Linked DNA regions of Schizosaccharomyces pombe. The protein of the gene in region 2 binds, or shares a complex with, the protein of the main gene of each other region. Each region holds a gene or a part of one and is shown on either strand. Other genes may lie near its edges. The genes, in order: rox3, med14, med31 and pmc4. A codon is read from its position in the direction of its gene.

Region 1 (3,427 bases), on a different chromosome or scaffold from region 2:
GAAGAAACTCCAGAAGCTTCAGTAGTATTTAATTGCACTGGTCTCTGGGCTTCCAAATTGGGTGGCGTTGAAGACCCGGACGTTTATCCGACTCGTGGACATGTTGTTTTGGTTAAGGCTCCTCATGTAACAGAAACTCGCATTTTGAATGGCAAGAACTCTGATACCTATATTATTCCTCGTCCCTTAAATGGTGGAGTCATTTGCGGCGGTTTCATGCAACCAGGAAACTGGGATCGTGAAATTCACCCTGAAGACACTTTGGATATCCTTAAGAGAACATCGGCTTTGATGCCAGAATTGTTCCACGGCAAGGGTCCGGAGGGTGCTGAAATTATTCAAGAATGTGTCGGATTCCGTCCTTCTCGAAAGGGTGGTGCCCGCGTAGAGCTTGATGTTGTTCCCGGCACCTCAGTCCCCCTTGTTCATGATTACGGTGCTTCTGGCACAGGATACCAAGCTGGTTATGGTATGGCTCTTGACTCTGTCATGTTGGCTCTTCCTAAAATCAAATTGGCTTAGGTTTATTTTTTTATCACGTTTCATATTTTTTAGAGCATTATCTCCCCTCTTTTTATTAGGATAATTGGTCGCTTCATTTGAGGTAGTTTTTATACCAAATTTCGAACCATGTTTTATAGACTTAACGGATTTGTTAAAACGCATTTCAATTCTACGATACACGTGTACAAGTAGTTCATTAGCTTTTGAGAGTTGCTAAATCATGAGGATGAAATAGCATTAGAATGTTGTACATTACCTTTACGTTTTTTGACGATTATTTAAAAAAATTTACATCTTTTGAGAATAATCTGAAAGACTAAAGTGCTTGGCATCCTTAATGCGAGCAAGTAAGGTTCCTTTCCTTCCGTGCCCTTGTTGTAGAAGCATTAAAATAGACTGAGCTTGATTCATATTAACGGTGGCATCTTTGTAGCTTAATTAGTAATTTTTGGGCCTTTAAAGAAGTTTTTCAATCCTCAATCGCAATATCCTAAATTCACCTATCCGCGACCAGCCTACCGTTTGCATACCACAGGTTTTGGGTAACTATCTAAACCAACTGTGAGGGAATTTAATTGTAATAGTTTATTCATTTTATATTATTTTATTTTGCTTTAATCACAATAATTTGATTAATCAGCTGCTTTTCGTCAGCTCATACAAATTACCAAGAGAAAGGAAAGCTTACATCCCATTATGGCTAATAGAAAGATTTTTCTTATTACATCTCTTATAATATCGTTATTGCTTATTCATATCTTCATATTCAGTCCACTGAATGAACCTGAGAAAAATGCAAAGGCAGGACCTTTAGGTCTTTCAGATGTCTCAGTGCCATCTGCTCCTAAATTACCTGCTAAGGATTCAACAGATTTTGAAGTATTTCTTGAAAACCCTGTTATCATTTTTAGTCGTCCTGGATGTCCTTATAGTGCTGCAGCTAAAAAACTTCTAACAGAAACCCTTAGATTGGATCCTCCAGCAGTGGTTGTAGAAGTCACCGACTACGAGCATACTCAAGAGTTAAGAGACTGGCTTTCTTCCATTAGCGATATATCTACAATGCCCAACATCTTCGTTGGTGGTCATAGCATCGGTGGATCTGATTCGGTCCGTGCTCTGTACCAAGAAGAAAAACTTCAGTCTACTTTGGATGAATGGACACATAATAAAGTTTTAATTTTACCTACCGACTAATTTTAATTTTTCAATATATGTTTTGATGCAATTTATTAATTACAATTTATGTTAAATCGATTACCCTTGGAAGTAACTCAATAATTATACTAGCCAAGTATGCTATAGCTTCTTTAAACCACCAACCACTACTCCAAACTATCCAGCTAAGCAACTTAGAGAGTAAAGCATTCATTGCATATATATTTAAAAAATTTGAATGCAATAATATATTCTTATTGTTACATTGGTCAATTTATTTGCATGGCGCAAGCTCCTGAATACCACTATGTAGGTAGTGTAGACTACCAACCGACGAGGCCTTCTGCCCATCAGAATTTAATAGAGCTTTATGGTCTTACGGAACTTGCTAAAAAGGTTGGACGTGTCGATGAATTTGGTAACAAGAGAAAGATGCGTCGTTCGTACAAGGCTTACATCCAAGACTTGCCAGGTTATAATGAAATTCTTCGTGATAATACTATAAAACAATGGCTTACAAACCCTATTCGAGAAGAAGTTCCTATTGACATTGAATTTTTACATCATGTGTTCTCTGTAGAGCCAGGCATTATTCCAGGTTTTAATCCTAAAGTGTTTGGCCTTGAAGACGACGTTGTAATGGGCAATGTTAGTCGTGATTCCTCTCAACCTCGTAGTCCAAGTCGTAGAAAGAAGTAATTGATGAGCCATCAATTGCTCATCAAATCCTAGAAAGCTGTGAAAGTTTGCTTTAAAACTGCAGGTCAAATCCTTAATGCTCTTGCCGAATTTTACTAAACTTGTTGCTTTTACTGAAACTTGTCGATTCTGCTTTCCATTACTCAATGATTGTACTCAGAAGAGCGATAAATATTTGAAGCTCTTTCTGCGGGTTCAGTTATCTGCTGTTTTCAGAGATTTTTCATCGTTTCAAAGCATGGAAACAATACCAAATGATTTAATTACTCTTTAATTTGCGGTCTAGAAAACTTATTTATTACATGGCGTTGTTTCGTTTTTAAAATTCATCTTTGTTTTCTCAGGTTTATTCCTAAGAAGTCGCTTTTAACTTCAATAGTTTAATCTCGGTGATTCTACTAGATTCTCAAGAGACAAATTACTTAAATTCTTTTTCTCATCTACTGTTTAATGTATTCTTAACGTTGTTAACTGAATCATATTAACTTATGTTCTATATGTTGCTAGTTGTTTTATTCATTTTAGTAATACATTTTCAAAGTTATTTTTCTTCATATACATTTCATCGTAAAGAGTATTTTCTAAATAATACCCAATTTTGAGAAGTGTAAAACAATTGTCGAAATAGTAAAAATATGAGTTGATCTACGCAGGACTGTTGCAAAGAACCGCAGCATAAAAAAATGGTATTGGATCATCCAAATTAAACAGATTGTTTCACTTACTGCCCATACATTACAGTCATCAATCGTAAATACCCGACTGGGCTTTAGAGACGTAATTTCAGTATTCATGATTGATGCAAAAAAAATAACTTGTCATACATTTCTATGTCAATTACCATTGCTTGAATTGCATAAAATACACCGTTCGAACCCCATATTTCTTAATTATACAGATTTACACGCTTACAACACGATTGAGGTAAAAAAATCGTACTTTATGAAACAATCGATAGATATAAACCAAAAACAAATTTAATTATTTGCTTTCCCATATCCACACATTCCCCTCTAACATTAGAATATAGAGGAGAAGATCCTTTTGTAATTCCTAAGGACCTCCC
Region 2 (5,647 bases):
TAATTTTTTCTGATAAATACTTTAATCTTAAAATAAATGAATTCAAGCAACTACAAATAATCGATACCAAATCGACAAGTCCTTTCTACGTAGTCCGATAACACAAAGTAATGTTTTCAAAAGAAAAAGGAATTAAAAATTGAAGATTTCAAGACAAATGATTGAAGGAACACTCACTTTTCCTACTAGTATATCTTCTGGTGGTATTGTTTACATTTGGTAGAAGAAGACCTTGCAATTGTTAGTGTGAATGCGATGAATAGCAAACTGCCTTCCACATCACAACCACAACAAGAAACTTAAAAGGAATTCAATTTTTGAAAAGACGGTATCTAAAGAAAATCATATACCAATGAATAACATAACGAAATTAATGAAACAAAAGAATATTTTGACACCTCCTTTGCCTCTGTACCGAAGGGTGTTGAGAGCGCATCGCTATCACCTAGGAGCAGAAGAACGAGCTTTAGGAGATGAATATGTAAAGGCGGAATTTCGAAGACATCGGAACGTAACAAATCCTTTGCATTTAGTAGGATTTTTAAGCTCGTGGGAGAGGTATGCGGATGCACTAGAAAACGAGAGCTGGAAACAGGAAAAATACAGTAATACGGATCTACTAGAATCTTTAAATGACCAGCAAATCGGACAGGTAAGAAAACTTATATTAGATTGAGGTTTATTATTAAAAGAAGAGAACTTTTACCAGTGCTCTTGAACTTATTGCTTCTTTTTTTGGACCTATAGTTTCTAACTATTATTGGCAGTTGTACGAGCTCTCAAAAGCTCTTCAGGAACAGAAAAAGTCTGAGTAGTGGTCGCGGAATCTGATTCTTTATCAGACATCTCTTTGTTATTAGAAGGATTTTGATTGTTTGAGTTGTCGTCATTTTTATTGGCACTTTGAGACGACATCTGCAAATCGTTATTAACTCGAGCATGTGCAAGCTCAACCAAAAACCTATAAAGTTGTTAATGAATGATCTGGACTACTCGTAAAAAAGTGAACGAGATGTTCAACTTCCTCATGGATAAACGTACCATGTTAGCGACAGCCACAAACAGATTGCCAGGAAAAATAAGATGAGACAATGAATACTTTTTGTACCTATATAAAGTCCAAGAAAAACAGCGACAAGTGCACCACAGGCTACGTGTGCTGACTTAGCCAATACAGGTGTGACACCTGGTGTGAAAATTGATTCCCATAGTTCCACCCAATACGACATGATCTTTTTCTTATTGGAATACTACTTGGAAATGTAGTAGCTATGAATTGACGTTGTTAAACCACCGTTTGTGTTCTAGCGATAAAATCTGGCCTTTATAGTGTGCGTGTGCTATTGAATTAATTTAGCAACGAGACCGATGTTGGAGTTCATTAAAAGTTAAAATGGATTTCAAGAAATCCATATCTTATACTACTATTAAAACCGAAGGTTATGCTTCCATTTGTCCAAATTTATTGTTAATAGAGCTTTGAATCATTCAAATGGAATAGTGCTCTACTTTTGTTTTGCTATATTAAAAATTTTTTGTCAGCTTCTTGTGGTCGTGGAGAAAATAATTAAATGATCAAAACAAATGTTATTTTTCGGCTTAGCTCTTCTAAATTACTGTTTTATTATCATTTTAATGAGACACGCTGAAGCTCTGATTAAAATTGATAGCAAAGTTTGAACAGCTTTAATGATGATTTTCGTTCAGTTTAAAGAAGGGGCTTTTTAACTACTATAGAATTACGAGAATCTTTTTGAACGGTTCCATCTCATTTGTTATTCTTCATTATCCATAGTTTCAAACTATGTTTTATGCGATTATCGCATAACAGGGCATGTTTATACTAGCTCAAATTTATTCAAAATCTCCCATTTTAGTAATATCATTGATCAATTATTATTTAATTCCATTTAAAATTGCTTATTTATTGATTATTCCAATTTTTTGAATGAATAAACCTAAGGCGTTTTAACAATCTCAGTGAATGGCGTAACGAAGGTTATCGAAGAGTTTCACGGGAGCTGTGTGAAGTTGCTTTTGGCACGCTACTCGAAGATTTCTGTAAAAGAGATATAAAGAATCCTTTTTAAGGGTTTTTAAAAGAACAAAACTTATGTTTATTACGAAATTTAGTTTTGGTAAAGGATCGGCTAATTAAAGGCGCTATTACACGAAATTCCTAACTCCTCCAATTGAGGATGGAACCGCCTGCGATTCCACACATTACAGAAGGATTTTATCCTCTTCCTGAGATAGTAGAAACTTTTAGTCATCATGTGTTACAAGAATTGGTGTCTTTAGCCGAAGTTCTACCCTCTATGTCAAATGTCGAGAAAAAGAAAAAGATCTTAGATTGGTTATTACGTTCGCGCGCTTTCACTATGCGTTTGCTAGTTTTAGCGCGTTGGGTACATCTATCTCCTTCAGTTCATCGATGCATAGATGTTGTAGCCTTTCTTCAAGGTCAAAAATTTTGCTTCCAGAATTTAGTTCATGTGTTACAAGATATTCGTTACCAGTTGTCATTTGCACGTCTACGCAACTCAGATTTAGTTACTGCATTAGATATTTTGTCAACTGGCACGAGTCTTCGTCTAGCAAATGCTCCCACTTCAAAATTATACATGCTATCTGAATCACCGCTAAGTACCAAACAAATACTTCAAACCCTTCATGCTCTTAACATGCTTATTAGAATTCGTCTTAGTCTTTATGAAATTATTCCGACACCATTTCAACATTTCACAATTGCTAATGGTCGTTGCACATTTACTGTTCCCAATGAGTTTTCAGTGTCTTTGACAACCAATTCCCAAGATCCTAAATCTACCGGTATTTCATTCCAGTGGATTGTTGTTGACTTTCAATTTCATCTTCCTGATTTTTCTTCTACTCCCGCAAAATATCGGGTTTTTATAGAATTGCATCTCAATGAAGAAATCGCTGCTGCATTCGTTCTACAAAAGCCCATCCTACCTTTAATATATAATATCCTTCATAAATTTTGTTTATATCAGCGCCTTAATTTATTGTCACAACAAACTTTTCAACTATCCAGAGAAAGTTGGTTAGGGCATTTGCGCGGTGTCTATGATGAAAAGCCCCCACGGCTACGTCTATACTATTGGCCCCAATTAAATGTGAAAAAAGAAGGAAAACCCGGAAAAATTGGTCATTATATTCATATATTTGTAAATACTCAACCCATATCCGCCTTTGAGCGTACCCTTAGCTCTAAGAGATCCAGTTGTGAATATGATCATTTTTTATTACTCGTTGAATGGCACCATGATGGCATTGTTGAACATGTACCATTAGATGATCATATGGATGCTCAGCATCTACTATTATTAATTACCCAAAAACACGCTCAACTTATTCTGGAACAAATCCGTAAGGAGCTTCACCCAAATATATTTAGTGAACATGTTGGTGGTGGTCTAAAAATTCATGTCTTTGATAATGAAATAATTGTCAAGGTGAACAGCGTTACCGGCAGGCTCGTGCTGTCGAGTTCGGCTTCACCTTTATCACCTCCCAGGCATCTTCGTGCTGCTGAAAAAAATATTGCTTTGAATACGCAACCTCCCGCCCAAATCTTGAATCGGTTGTATTTCTTTTGTATACAAACGCAGCTATTAGAAGTTGCCCAGTGTGCTGAGTTGCATGCAGTTCAAGGTTACTATTCTTTCCCTTATCTTACATTCTCCAAAGGTAAATGGAGAAAAGATGGCGATTCCCTATGGGTACTCGCGTACAACGTTGAATCCAACTCTTGGTCTGTTAGATTGTTGAACGCTGCGGGTCAAACTCTCTACACCCAAGATGTTCATACTACAAAAGGTACTTTAAGTATTGAAAGTTTTAGCCGTCTTTCGTACCTATTGGAAGTCCAAATACTTTTATTCAATGTTCAAACTGCTTGCCAAGCTCGTGGTATGCCTTTTGAATATTTGCCTATTCCACCAAAAGCCCTAATTGAAGATGACTTTACTACATACGTCCAAACAGGATGCTTATGTATTATGATGCCATCGTCTAATGAAGATATGCTTCCTGTGGTTTTCGTTCGCGCGCATGACGGGCAGTTAATTTTTGACTCCCGAATAAAAGGAAAATTGCCGTATCAGTCTGAGACTGAAACTGAAAAGAACTGCTACATAGATTGGAGAACCGGTCGTATTACCATTCGTGTGCAAAATTTTTCATCTTTCGAAAAAACATGGATTGGATTACTTAAACTTGTTGCTTTGTCTAAAACATCTGCATTCAATGTAGATTGTATCACGTTAAAGCATGTGGACTTTACATATCTCGATGATGAGAAATTTAGGGCTACAATTCATGACGACAACACTTTTACCCTTCATTTTTTTAATCGACATAGTCCGTTTCATCTAATTTCTCAGTTTTTGCAGGATACATTTTCTGATGGGCCCTCAGCTATTCAACCATTACGCGTAATTATGGATAGAACGAGAGGTGTTTTAGTAGCTCAAGAATTGGGCTACGTTGTTTTGGCTCGATCTCTGCGTCAGTACAGAATTATCCTATCCAAAAATCATGGCATTCAAGTTCTTTTAAATCGCCATGGATGTATACTCCAAGATTTATCCTACTTATCTGCCGATTCCCGATACTTGGAAGGAACTCAGACTTTGACGTCTCAATGGGAACCTTGTTCATGGCTTAATACTGTTTGGGAAGGTGACTTGGGTGATGATGAGCTTAATGGTCAGATTGAGGCCGCTCCCGAGATGCACTTAATAAAGATGAACAAAACGGCTGATTTAACAGCCATTCTAAAAAGAATTTTAGCGATCTCTCGAAAAAAATGAACTCATATTAAGCTTTTAATCCTCACCCCCTCCACCGTCCATTCCTTTCGGTGGCAGTGATTAGTGATTGTATATATAAATACGGCAAAAAATGTCTGGTTAATGAGGTAAATGAAAATCGTTTTCTAAAGTATACAAGTGAATGTTACATTGATGATACATGTGATTTATATAATCCAACGTGTAAATTAGAGATCGTCGAATTAACGCTTAATCATTTATGAATAAGCAAAAAACTTCCGTAGGTAAAATGAATTTCTATTATAATCGCCATAATCCCAAGTTTATTCAAAGCTGTGTTCTTTTAAGCTAATAAATTTTATATTGAATCTTTAAGTACCGCTGGCATCAACATACGTTGATCACCACTAGCAGTTGCAGTTCTTAAAGCTTCTCGTAAAGCCATAGTAGCGTAAGCAGAAGATGGAAGTACAAATTTTAACGTAACAGCGGTGTGCTTACCAACCTCAGAACTCACTGAAATAGAACGGTTCTCCAATCTATCCTTATCCGTCAAAATCAGTTGTTGTTCCATATTGTCATACTTTATGAAATTAAACTCCATATTTTCAGGACGCACCAAAAGTTTTCGATAATCACCAGGTAATGAAAGTTCTCTGTCTTTGCGAGACATATTTAATGGATCAAGTGATGCCTCATTCATGACAGACTTGTATATATCGAAAGTTTCATTTTTTGGGTATATTACATTACGACCAGGTAAAGGAAGTACTATGTCGTAAATACTAAAGTTATTGACTTCGTCCTCTTCAATCGGACGAGCTGATAATTTTGAGCTCACAGGTAAA
Region 3 (2,962 bases), on a different chromosome or scaffold from region 2:
TTTATGCATCTAACGTTGTTTAAAGAATTATTGAAACAACCAAAACCAAAATTTCATTTTGAAATAGAGCCCAATGTATCTTTTCTAGCAGTGGAGGAGGGACCAGCGTCGTTGCGTTCTTATTCTATAGGGAATGTGAGTCGTATTTACGATGGCATAAGAGTACCTCCAAAACCCGAGGAGCCTTTGAATTGTTGCCAAAGTGGTTGCGCTATATGTGTTTGGGATGTGTATGCTGATGACCTTGAGGAATACAATCGTGCACGAAGAAAAGCAAAAAGGCATTATTTAGATAAACATTTACCCGTGCCTCCTGATTTAGCAAAGGTTTCATTAAAGGAAACTAGCTCATTGGAAGAGCTACCTCCTCAGTTGAAAGCCTTTGTTTTACTGGAAAAACGATTAATGAAGGATAAGCAATCTAAAAACAACTAATTAATGCAAAAACAAAAATATATAACTCTCATGATAAGGATATGATAGGTATGAATAACATGATTTTCTTGGATATATTATCAAAAAAATTAGACTTAATGCTTCTTTATTTATTAGTCTAAATGCTTACAGAACACTTCTGAAACTGCATAAAATGGCATTAAATATGATTTACAAAAATAAAAGTCTAAAAAACTCTGTATTGTGTAAATGTGTTTTAATTTGCAGTCAAACTTTTCAACAGAATTTATCTCATACCGATTCAATCCATTTTGGCAAACTGAAAAGCACAGGAAACACAATCAGAAGTGATCCGTAAAGATTTTGTACTTATTGAAGTTTCATAGGTCCAGGAGTTTCTCAAGTACATGCTTGTATAAGAGATCTTGCTTGATTTTGGATATTGAAATTTAAAAATGTGAGAAAAAAGTAAGTGGATATTACCATAACTATCTCAATATCTACATACATCCTCTTTTCATTCATTTTCCTTTTTCACGTCAACTTTCTTTTCATCTTCCTCTTGCTGCGGCTGAGACAAAGTAGCATCGTCGGCACTACCATATTGCTGCAAACCTTTTCCTAACCATTCATAATAAATTTCATCATTAACCTGCTTTGACAAATCCGCTCTAGAAATGTCGTTGCGAAATTGCGGATTTTTTAATAAAGTCAACATGTGCAGGCAAGTTGGATAAATTATGAATTTCACATATTCTGGTTCCCTCCAATATTCCATATATTCAAGGTACTGTAAAAATGCCTCATCTTCAAAGTATTTGTGCTGGGCAAGGAAGTTTAGGTACCATGGATTTGAAAGCATTTGTACAAATTCTAACTCAATTTCAAACCGACTCTTATCATCGGGAACCTTTGAAAGTAACCATTTTGTTTCCATTGAATCGAAACAATTACTTGACCATATATCTGTATATTTGGTAAAATTTGGTTTTGGTGCTACCACTAGTAACGCTACGGGATATGTAAAGAATAGTGGGCTCCCTAAATGGTGAGTAGAAAATTGAAAGAGTAAACAAATTCAATTCTAACGGGCAATTTATTTCTTAATTAAATTAAAATTCTCTAGTTGAAAAATTGGTTCTAAATGGTTTCTCCCATTTAAGCTGTTTAATTTTACAAGTGTTAATAATCAATCTGGAACAATGTCAAAACAACTTAGTTGAAATCTTAAAGTCAACTTCAAATTTCTAATTGCTCATTAAAGCTGTCTAACTCAATTTTTTGTGGATACCATTTTTATCCACAATAAGTATTGCTTTCTTCGTATTGATGATGAGCGTAGAACTTTCAATTTTAATAAGACTTGTTGACAAAAGGAAAGCTATAATTAAATACACTGAAACCTTTTTTTCAACAGTAAACTGACCCTCTAGATCTGTAGTTTCAATCAAATTGACAAAAAACGGATAAGATTAAGAATATATTTTTATGGCATAGTAGAGATGCATTGGTTATTTAAAATGTTATTAAGTTAATATTAATTTTCAATATATAGGCCTTAATAAACTGTTATTCATATTCGGCTCTTGAGGTATAAAGTCGTTCAATTTTCAAACCTTTCCGCTGCCAATACACAGCGGAATTTATGAGTATCTCGTGAAATCAGCAATTCCGGTTGGTATTAATGTTATATAAGCTTAAACAATAATTTTTCAAGAAAGGAATACTGTTTGGCTGCATAATTGGTCTTTATCCTCGTATATTACCGCTTTTGTCATTTTTCTATATTCGGGTTGTTATCACTGTCTGAACCCTACTAAAGTTTTTCATTCATACATTTAAATTACAATGAAAGTTATTTGTGGATCAGTGTTTCTGTTTTCACTTTTCTTTCAAGTAGTTTTAGGAGATTGTATGTTCTAATGAGTTTTTTGCTTTGTTTGCTAACCAGATTTTCTTTTTTTTTTTCATTCACTAAGCATAACACTAACCTATAGATTTTTCCTCGTCTTCCGGTAATCCTAACTTGAGGACTACGAAAGTGTATACTGTAGTCAGTGGAACTCACCTGGCTACGGCTGAAAGCACTGTTAGTAAAACAATCACCACGACAAAAGGTTTACCGACTAATGCTTATTACAACTGTGTTCCTTCTAAATATATCCAGTCGGATATACCCATGTGTGCACCTAACCAAGGGGATCGTTGGGTAAAAGGTCGCAAGTATAAAGTGTCATGGGATCCTCTGTACTTTGGAGTTGATAATCTTCTTATGGTAGTTTCCTATTTAAACGATAGCGGGTTGATTGCCGCTACCAAGAAGGTTCAAAATTCAAAAGGTTCGTTTGTAGAGGAGCGGGAATTCAGCATTACTTCTTGCGGATAGATTTTCTGCTTCTAAAAGCGTTCACTTAATTGTTGCTAACTATTTTTCAGGAGAAATAATGTTAAAGGCTAACAAAGGTTGGCTTCATGATGATAGTTTCCAGAATGTCACCATCGATTTGGTTACTATTAGTGAAAACAATATGACGCTGCTTACCGGACCAAGAATCTTACTTGCCAA
Region 4 (4,187 bases), 1.5 Mb from region 2:
TCTGATTTCGCTACTATAGCTTCTTGGGGTGTTAATGTTTTGCGTATTCCTATTGGGTATTGGGCCTTTAATGTGGTAGACGGCGAACCATATGTTCAAGGGCAAGAGTACTGGCTCGATCAAGCTCTTACTTGGGCTGAACAATATGGCCTTAAGGTTTGGATTGACTTGCATGGTGTTCCAGGCAGCCAAAATGGATTTGAAAACTCTGGTAAGACTGGTTCCATTGGATGGCAGCAAAATGACACTGTAACTCGTACTCTTGACATTATTACCTATGTTGCTAATAAGTATACCCAATCTCAATATGCCAGCGTGGTTATTGGAATTGAGACGGTAAATGAGCCTTTGGGCTATGGTCTGGATATGGATCAACTTAAGCAATACGATTTAGATGCCTATAATATCGTCAATCCTCTTTCCAGCTCTGTTGCTACTATCATTCACGATGCCTATGTTGATCTTTCTATTTGGGATTATGGTGTTGTATCTCCTTCTTCATACAATCTTGTTATGGATGTCCATCGTTATCAACTTTACGAGTCGGATGAGTGCTCAAAGACTCTCGATGATCATCTTTCAGATGTTTGCTCCATTGGTGATTCCATTGCTTCCTCTCCCTACATTACTGTTACTGGCGAATGGTCCGGAACTTTAGCAGACTGCACGATTTTCGAAGAAGGAGTTGACTCTTCGACATTTATTGGACCAAACAGCGGTGATATTTCCACTTGGACGGATGAATATAAGGGAGCTGTTCGTCTGTTTATCGAAACTCAGTTAGATCAATTTGAACGCGGTGCTGGTTGGATTTACTGGACTGCTAAAACTGGTGGACCAAGTCCTACTTGGGATATGGGATTACTTATTGAATACGGCGTATTCCCTCAACCTTTCACTGATAGACAATATAGCTCTTACTGCGGTTAAGCAAAGCCATATCAAAGTTAAAAAAAAATTTTATCTATTCTAGCTGTATAACACTAATTTATATCTCACACATCGTTGTCATGTCCTGTCCTTGCATTTATCATCTACTATCATTTAACGTGCTGCTATCTACTATCCATTCAGTCTTTGTTTGTTTGGCATTATCTTTAGACATTAGTTTTTAATATATATTGTTGTTTTCGAAATCTTTTAGTTATGTGATATTAATATTTTGGTAGCAAGTTCCTACTAAATTAATATTTAGCTTAATAGTTTACGTTCAATATTGCATATTTTTTCGAACTCTATATTAACAGTAGCTGTACTTTGGAGAAAGTTGACCGAGAAATCTTTTTAAAGTTGTCCAATTGAATTTTCAATTATCAAGTATCTTCAGTTTACTTATATGAAATGTATTTTCTGCTCTACTCTTATAAGTCAGTATTGAGCCACATAGACGGACCACTTTGAGTTAGTCTCGGAAAAGCAAATCGACAGAATAGGTTTTCACTCAGCCACAGGTGACATATGTTTAAAATACTTTTATAAAAATTACATTTAAATTGAGCGATTTCTTGGTAAAGTAATATTACACATTTTCTGATCTGATATAGGCTTTATACGCATTAAACGAAATAAGCTCATTAAGCATTCTTTAACGAACTCGCTTTTTTAATTTAATGAGATATCTAATTCACTAGTATGTATTCATTATGTTGTCCCTAACAAGATCAAAATTGTTACACTGTAAATGTAACGTAGTTTGTCGACTAATTTATACGAATAATAGCTTTCTTCTTGCCCAAATTAGTGAAATTTGTTAGACAATTTAAACAATTAAAATCATATACAGAATTAAATTGACTAATTCTATTTAATCGAGAGTAACTTAAGTATTGTTCGTCGAGCGTATATACCAGCTGCTACTTATTGCCCTTGTGGAGGAGGACATTACTGTAATTTACCGTGTTTTAGCACATTAAACCTTTTAAGGATGTCTGTTTAACTAACGGTTACGGATGTTTAAGGAGTAAAAAGTCGAGTCTGCAAAATAACTGTAACCTGACCTACTAGATGATCGAGCAATTGTTGAGTAGTTAGTATATAGTAATCACATATGCTCCCCAATGGAATATCAAAGAGCCATTGATTCTATTGAAGAATGTCTCAATAAACAGTTAAGACTGTCATCCGAAAAGGTTGACCAATATGTACTAATAGAAAACTGGACCTCATTAGTAGGCCACTTGAAAACCTTACACTCTTTAATATCAAATTACACAAATGGTAGAGAATTACAAAATGAAATTAGTTCTTTGCTGAAGCAGGATAAGGAACTGGATTTACAAATTCAAGACTGCATGAGAGAAATGACCTCAATTTATGATACCCATCTTCCAAAAACAGTGTCGGGGAGAAAACGACAAAAAGTTAATGCTGAAACACTCCTTGATTATGGTAGAAAACTTTCCAAGTTTTCCTCTGCACCTCCTGGGTACAATCCCGAGACGGGTCAAGATGCAAAAGCTCCTGTGCATTATCCTTGGCCATCGGAGGACCAGATGCGAAAAACTCTGTTGTTTCAGTTTTCAACTAGCATGGTTCCAAATTTATCGGCTACAGCGTCCCAATTATTTTCTGAACAGCCTCCAAAGACGAACGAGCCAACGGAAACAGAAACAGAAATTGATGCGAACAAAGCCGTTGAAGAAAAAACTAAAATGAATTATCCTGCCTCTCCAACATTCACTACGCAAGAGGAAAATAAAGAAGTAGAATCGCCAGCTAATAAGGATGTCTTTGCAGGATTTGATCTTTTTGATCCAGAAATGGAAGAAGATTTTTGATTCTAAATTGTGTTATTTGTCAAGTGATATCTGGTATTTTACTTTTCTAATTATAGAGTTTTTTGCTTTGACCAAATACCCTTTTGTTTTAAAAATGAATAAAATTACGCTTTGCCGTTTAGACTGTATTTATTTAGCTTTCAGACTTCGCAAAGCAAGATGATTGAACACTGTTCCTTGCTTAACATTTGTCAATTCAAATTTAATTAATTTTAAGTATAATTTTCGAACAATCTACGTTTTCTGAGTTCATTTAATTATGCGTTAGCATGAAAAAATTCCTTTTCTGCGTGATCATTCCTTGCTATGGGCATAAGGCTCTCTATTACAGAAAAACCGAACGATGGGTCTTTTTTAAGGACTAAAGTTGATGATGCATGAATGATATAACCTTTAATATATCCTTGGTCAATTAGAGAAACACAGATACATTCGACATCGTCCATGTCATATGAGTTATCATTTGTACTTAAACGGGCCGCGGTTAACAAGTAAGAACCAGATACGTGCGGGGTTTTTTGGCTTTGCTCAAAAGTAAAAAGAAACCTTTTTAAATTAGTCGAATATTTTAAAAAATCTCAAACGTACACCTTTCTAAATAAATTCCTCCACAGGATGATTTCACATCTATCCAATAAAGTTAGATATATTCCTCGTTTGATAAACCATTTCCTCCTGGAATTGTCCTCCAAAGATAATCTGAACGACTTGATATCACCACTTTTCAAAGCTTTTATTAAAGGTTCGAATGCTGCAGTCAATTTGTATTTTTCTAATAGCCCTTTTGTTGGCGATTTTCCTAATATAAGTAAACACGTTGTAAGATAGATTAGAGAAAGCCTTTTTTGATTAGTAAATATAAACGAATCCTATTTTTGAGTAAAATAAAACATACCTTTTTTGATGATAACACTCATCAGGGCACTGAAGAAACGAAAAAAGTAGATGGTCCTTTGCCTGATGAATTTTGCGTTGATAAAGATGACACCTTCCTAAATAATAACGAAACGTTACTAATTCCGCCATTGTAGCGCGAGAAATATCGGCACCCGAAGAGATGACATTAGCTTGAATAGTTTGGCAAAGACGAATTTGCTTTAAGCGAAAATATAGTAAACAAAGTAAATTGGCAATACAGAATATCGCATCCTTCTTCGAAGGGTTAATGTTTTGTTGACGATCACTCAGTATACTATTGAACGTTCGTAAGACGTTCCTAGATGCATCGCTCACGTATTTCCTCTGTATGAACCCATTACCATCAAAAGAATCTTCTAAAGTAGGTGTAGATGTATCTAGCTGAAGGGAGAGCTTTACATAAAGCTTTGAAACGCGTTTTACAATTGTACACAACCATGCTCCATCGATATGGGAGAAGCAAGTTGTCAAGTTACTAGAAAAACAAAAGTG

What was found.
Region 1: the proteins of med14 (region 2) and rox3 are in contact, whole or in part, in a crystal structure (PDB 5N9J), measured with the Schizosaccharomyces pombe proteins. Residues at the interface, in NP_595813.2 of Schizosaccharomyces pombe: Glu2 (codon at 2,202), Pro3 (codon at 2,205), Pro4 (codon at 2,208), Ala5 (codon at 2,211), Ile6 (codon at 2,214), Tyr14 (codon at 2,238), Ile19 (codon at 2,253), Thr22 (codon at 2,262), Phe23 (codon at 2,265), His25 (codon at 2,271), His26 (codon at 2,274), Val27 (codon at 2,277), Leu28 (codon at 2,280), Gln29 (codon at 2,283), Glu30 (codon at 2,286), Leu31 (codon at 2,289), Val32 (codon at 2,292), Ala35 (codon at 2,301), Leu38 (codon at 2,310), Pro39 (codon at 2,313), Asn43 (codon at 2,325), Val44 (codon at 2,328), Lys46 (codon at 2,334), Lys47 (codon at 2,337), Lys48 (codon at 2,340), Ile50 (codon at 2,346), Leu51 (codon at 2,349), Leu55 (codon at 2,361), Arg56 (codon at 2,364), Arg58 (codon at 2,370); in NP_588304.1 of Schizosaccharomyces pombe: Thr18 (codon at 1,996), Arg19 (codon at 1,999), Pro20 (codon at 2,002), Ala22 (codon at 2,008), Leu26 (codon at 2,020), Leu29 (codon at 2,029), Tyr30 (codon at 2,032), Gly31 (codon at 2,035), Leu32 (codon at 2,038), Leu35 (codon at 2,047), Lys38 (codon at 2,056), Val39 (codon at 2,059), Tyr55 (codon at 2,107), Tyr58 (codon at 2,116), Asp61 (codon at 2,125), Leu62 (codon at 2,128), Pro63 (codon at 2,131), Asn66 (codon at 2,140), Leu69 (codon at 2,149), Arg70 (codon at 2,152), Asp71 (codon at 2,155), Thr73 (codon at 2,161), Trp77 (codon at 2,173), Leu78 (codon at 2,176), Asn80 (codon at 2,182), Pro81 (codon at 2,185), Ile82 (codon at 2,188), Arg83 (codon at 2,191), Glu84 (codon at 2,194), Glu85 (codon at 2,197).
Region 3: med14 (region 2) and med31 share a complex: the UniProt entries of both Schizosaccharomyces pombe proteins name them as parts of the mediator complex.
Region 4: the proteins of med14 (region 2) and pmc4 are in contact, whole or in part, in a crystal structure (PDB 5N9J), measured with the Schizosaccharomyces pombe proteins. Residues at the interface, in NP_595813.2 of Schizosaccharomyces pombe: Ile9 (codon at 2,223), Thr10 (codon at 2,226), Glu11 (codon at 2,229), Gly12 (codon at 2,232), Phe13 (codon at 2,235), Ile81 (codon at 2,439), Val84 (codon at 2,448), Gln88 (codon at 2,460), Lys91 (codon at 2,469), Phe92 (codon at 2,472), Gln95 (codon at 2,481), Phe110 (codon at 2,526), Arg114 (codon at 2,538), Asn115 (codon at 2,541), Ser116 (codon at 2,544), Asp117 (codon at 2,547), Leu118 (codon at 2,550), Thr120 (codon at 2,556), Ala121 (codon at 2,559), Leu122 (codon at 2,562), Ile124 (codon at 2,568), Leu125 (codon at 2,571), Arg132 (codon at 2,592), Gln153 (codon at 2,655), Gln156 (codon at 2,664), Thr157 (codon at 2,667), Ala160 (codon at 2,676), Met163 (codon at 2,685), Arg166 (codon at 2,694), Ile167 (codon at 2,697); in NP_596462.1 of Schizosaccharomyces pombe: Leu65 (codon at 2,250), Asp68 (codon at 2,259), Asp72 (codon at 2,271), Gln76 (codon at 2,283), Met79 (codon at 2,292), Arg80 (codon at 2,295), Thr83 (codon at 2,304), Tyr86 (codon at 2,313), Thr88 (codon at 2,319), His89 (codon at 2,322), Pro91 (codon at 2,328), Lys92 (codon at 2,331), Thr93 (codon at 2,334), Gln100 (codon at 2,355), Lys101 (codon at 2,358), Val102 (codon at 2,361), Leu107 (codon at 2,376), Leu108 (codon at 2,379), Tyr110 (codon at 2,385), Gly111 (codon at 2,388), Arg112 (codon at 2,391), Leu114 (codon at 2,397), Ser115 (codon at 2,400), Lys116 (codon at 2,403), Ser118 (codon at 2,409), Pro139 (codon at 2,472), Met199 (codon at 2,652), Asn200 (codon at 2,655), Tyr201 (codon at 2,658), Pro202 (codon at 2,661).

Annotation. Positions count from the first base shown.
Region 1 is NC_003421.2:1,733,701-1,737,127, reverse strand, and holds rox3 (mediator complex subunit Med19), read left to right. Parts: upstream 1-1,815; 5' UTR 1,816-1,944; coding exon 1,945-2,361; 3' UTR 2,362-2,868; downstream 2,869-3,427. Other genes in the region: dao1 (D-amino acid oxidase), read left to right, coding at 1-522; CIA machinery monothiol glutaredoxin Grx3, read left to right, coding at 1,201-1,701. UniProt on the Schizosaccharomyces pombe protein: Component of the Mediator complex, a coactivator involved in the regulated transcription of nearly all RNA polymerase II-dependent genes.
Region 2 is NC_003423.3:1,995,480-2,001,126, reverse strand, and holds med14 (mediator complex subunit Med14), read left to right. Parts: upstream 1-2,033; 5' UTR 2,034-2,198; coding exon 2,199-4,838; 3' UTR 4,839-5,121; downstream 5,122-5,647. Other genes in the region: sdh7 (ACN9 family protein), read left to right, coding at 353-652, 768-815; V-ATPase assembly factor Pkr1, read right to left, coding at 751-961, 1,042-1,229; pus7 (pseudouridine synthase), read right to left, coding at 5,158-5,647. UniProt on the Schizosaccharomyces pombe protein: Component of the Mediator complex, a coactivator involved in the regulated transcription of nearly all RNA polymerase II-dependent genes.
Region 3 is NC_003421.2:525,358-528,319, forward strand, and holds med31 (mediator complex subunit Med31), read right to left. Parts: upstream 1,392-2,962; 5' UTR 1,334-1,391; coding exon 914-1,333; 3' UTR 502-913; downstream 1-501. Other genes in the region: SPOM_SPCP31B10.02 (uncharacterized protein), read left to right, coding at 4-435; protein psg2, read left to right, coding at 2,245-2,308, 2,394-2,735, 2,833-2,962. UniProt on the Schizosaccharomyces pombe protein: Component of the Mediator complex, a coactivator involved in the regulated transcription of nearly all RNA polymerase II-dependent genes.
Region 4 is NC_003423.3:3,515,432-3,519,618, forward strand, and holds pmc4 (mediator complex subunit Med4), read left to right. Parts: upstream 1-2,029; 5' UTR 2,030-2,057; coding exon 2,058-2,777; 3' UTR 2,778-3,034; coding exon of another isoform or gene 3,035-3,323; 3' UTR 3,324-3,365; coding exon of another isoform or gene 3,366-3,617; 3' UTR 3,618-3,658; downstream 3,659-4,187. Other genes in the region: cell wall glucan 1,6-beta-glucosidase Exg1, read left to right, coding at 1-930; TREX/TREX2 complex subunit Pci2, read right to left, coding at 3,035-3,323, 3,366-3,617, 3,673-4,170. UniProt on the Schizosaccharomyces pombe protein: Component of the Mediator complex, a coactivator involved in the regulated transcription of nearly all RNA polymerase II-dependent genes.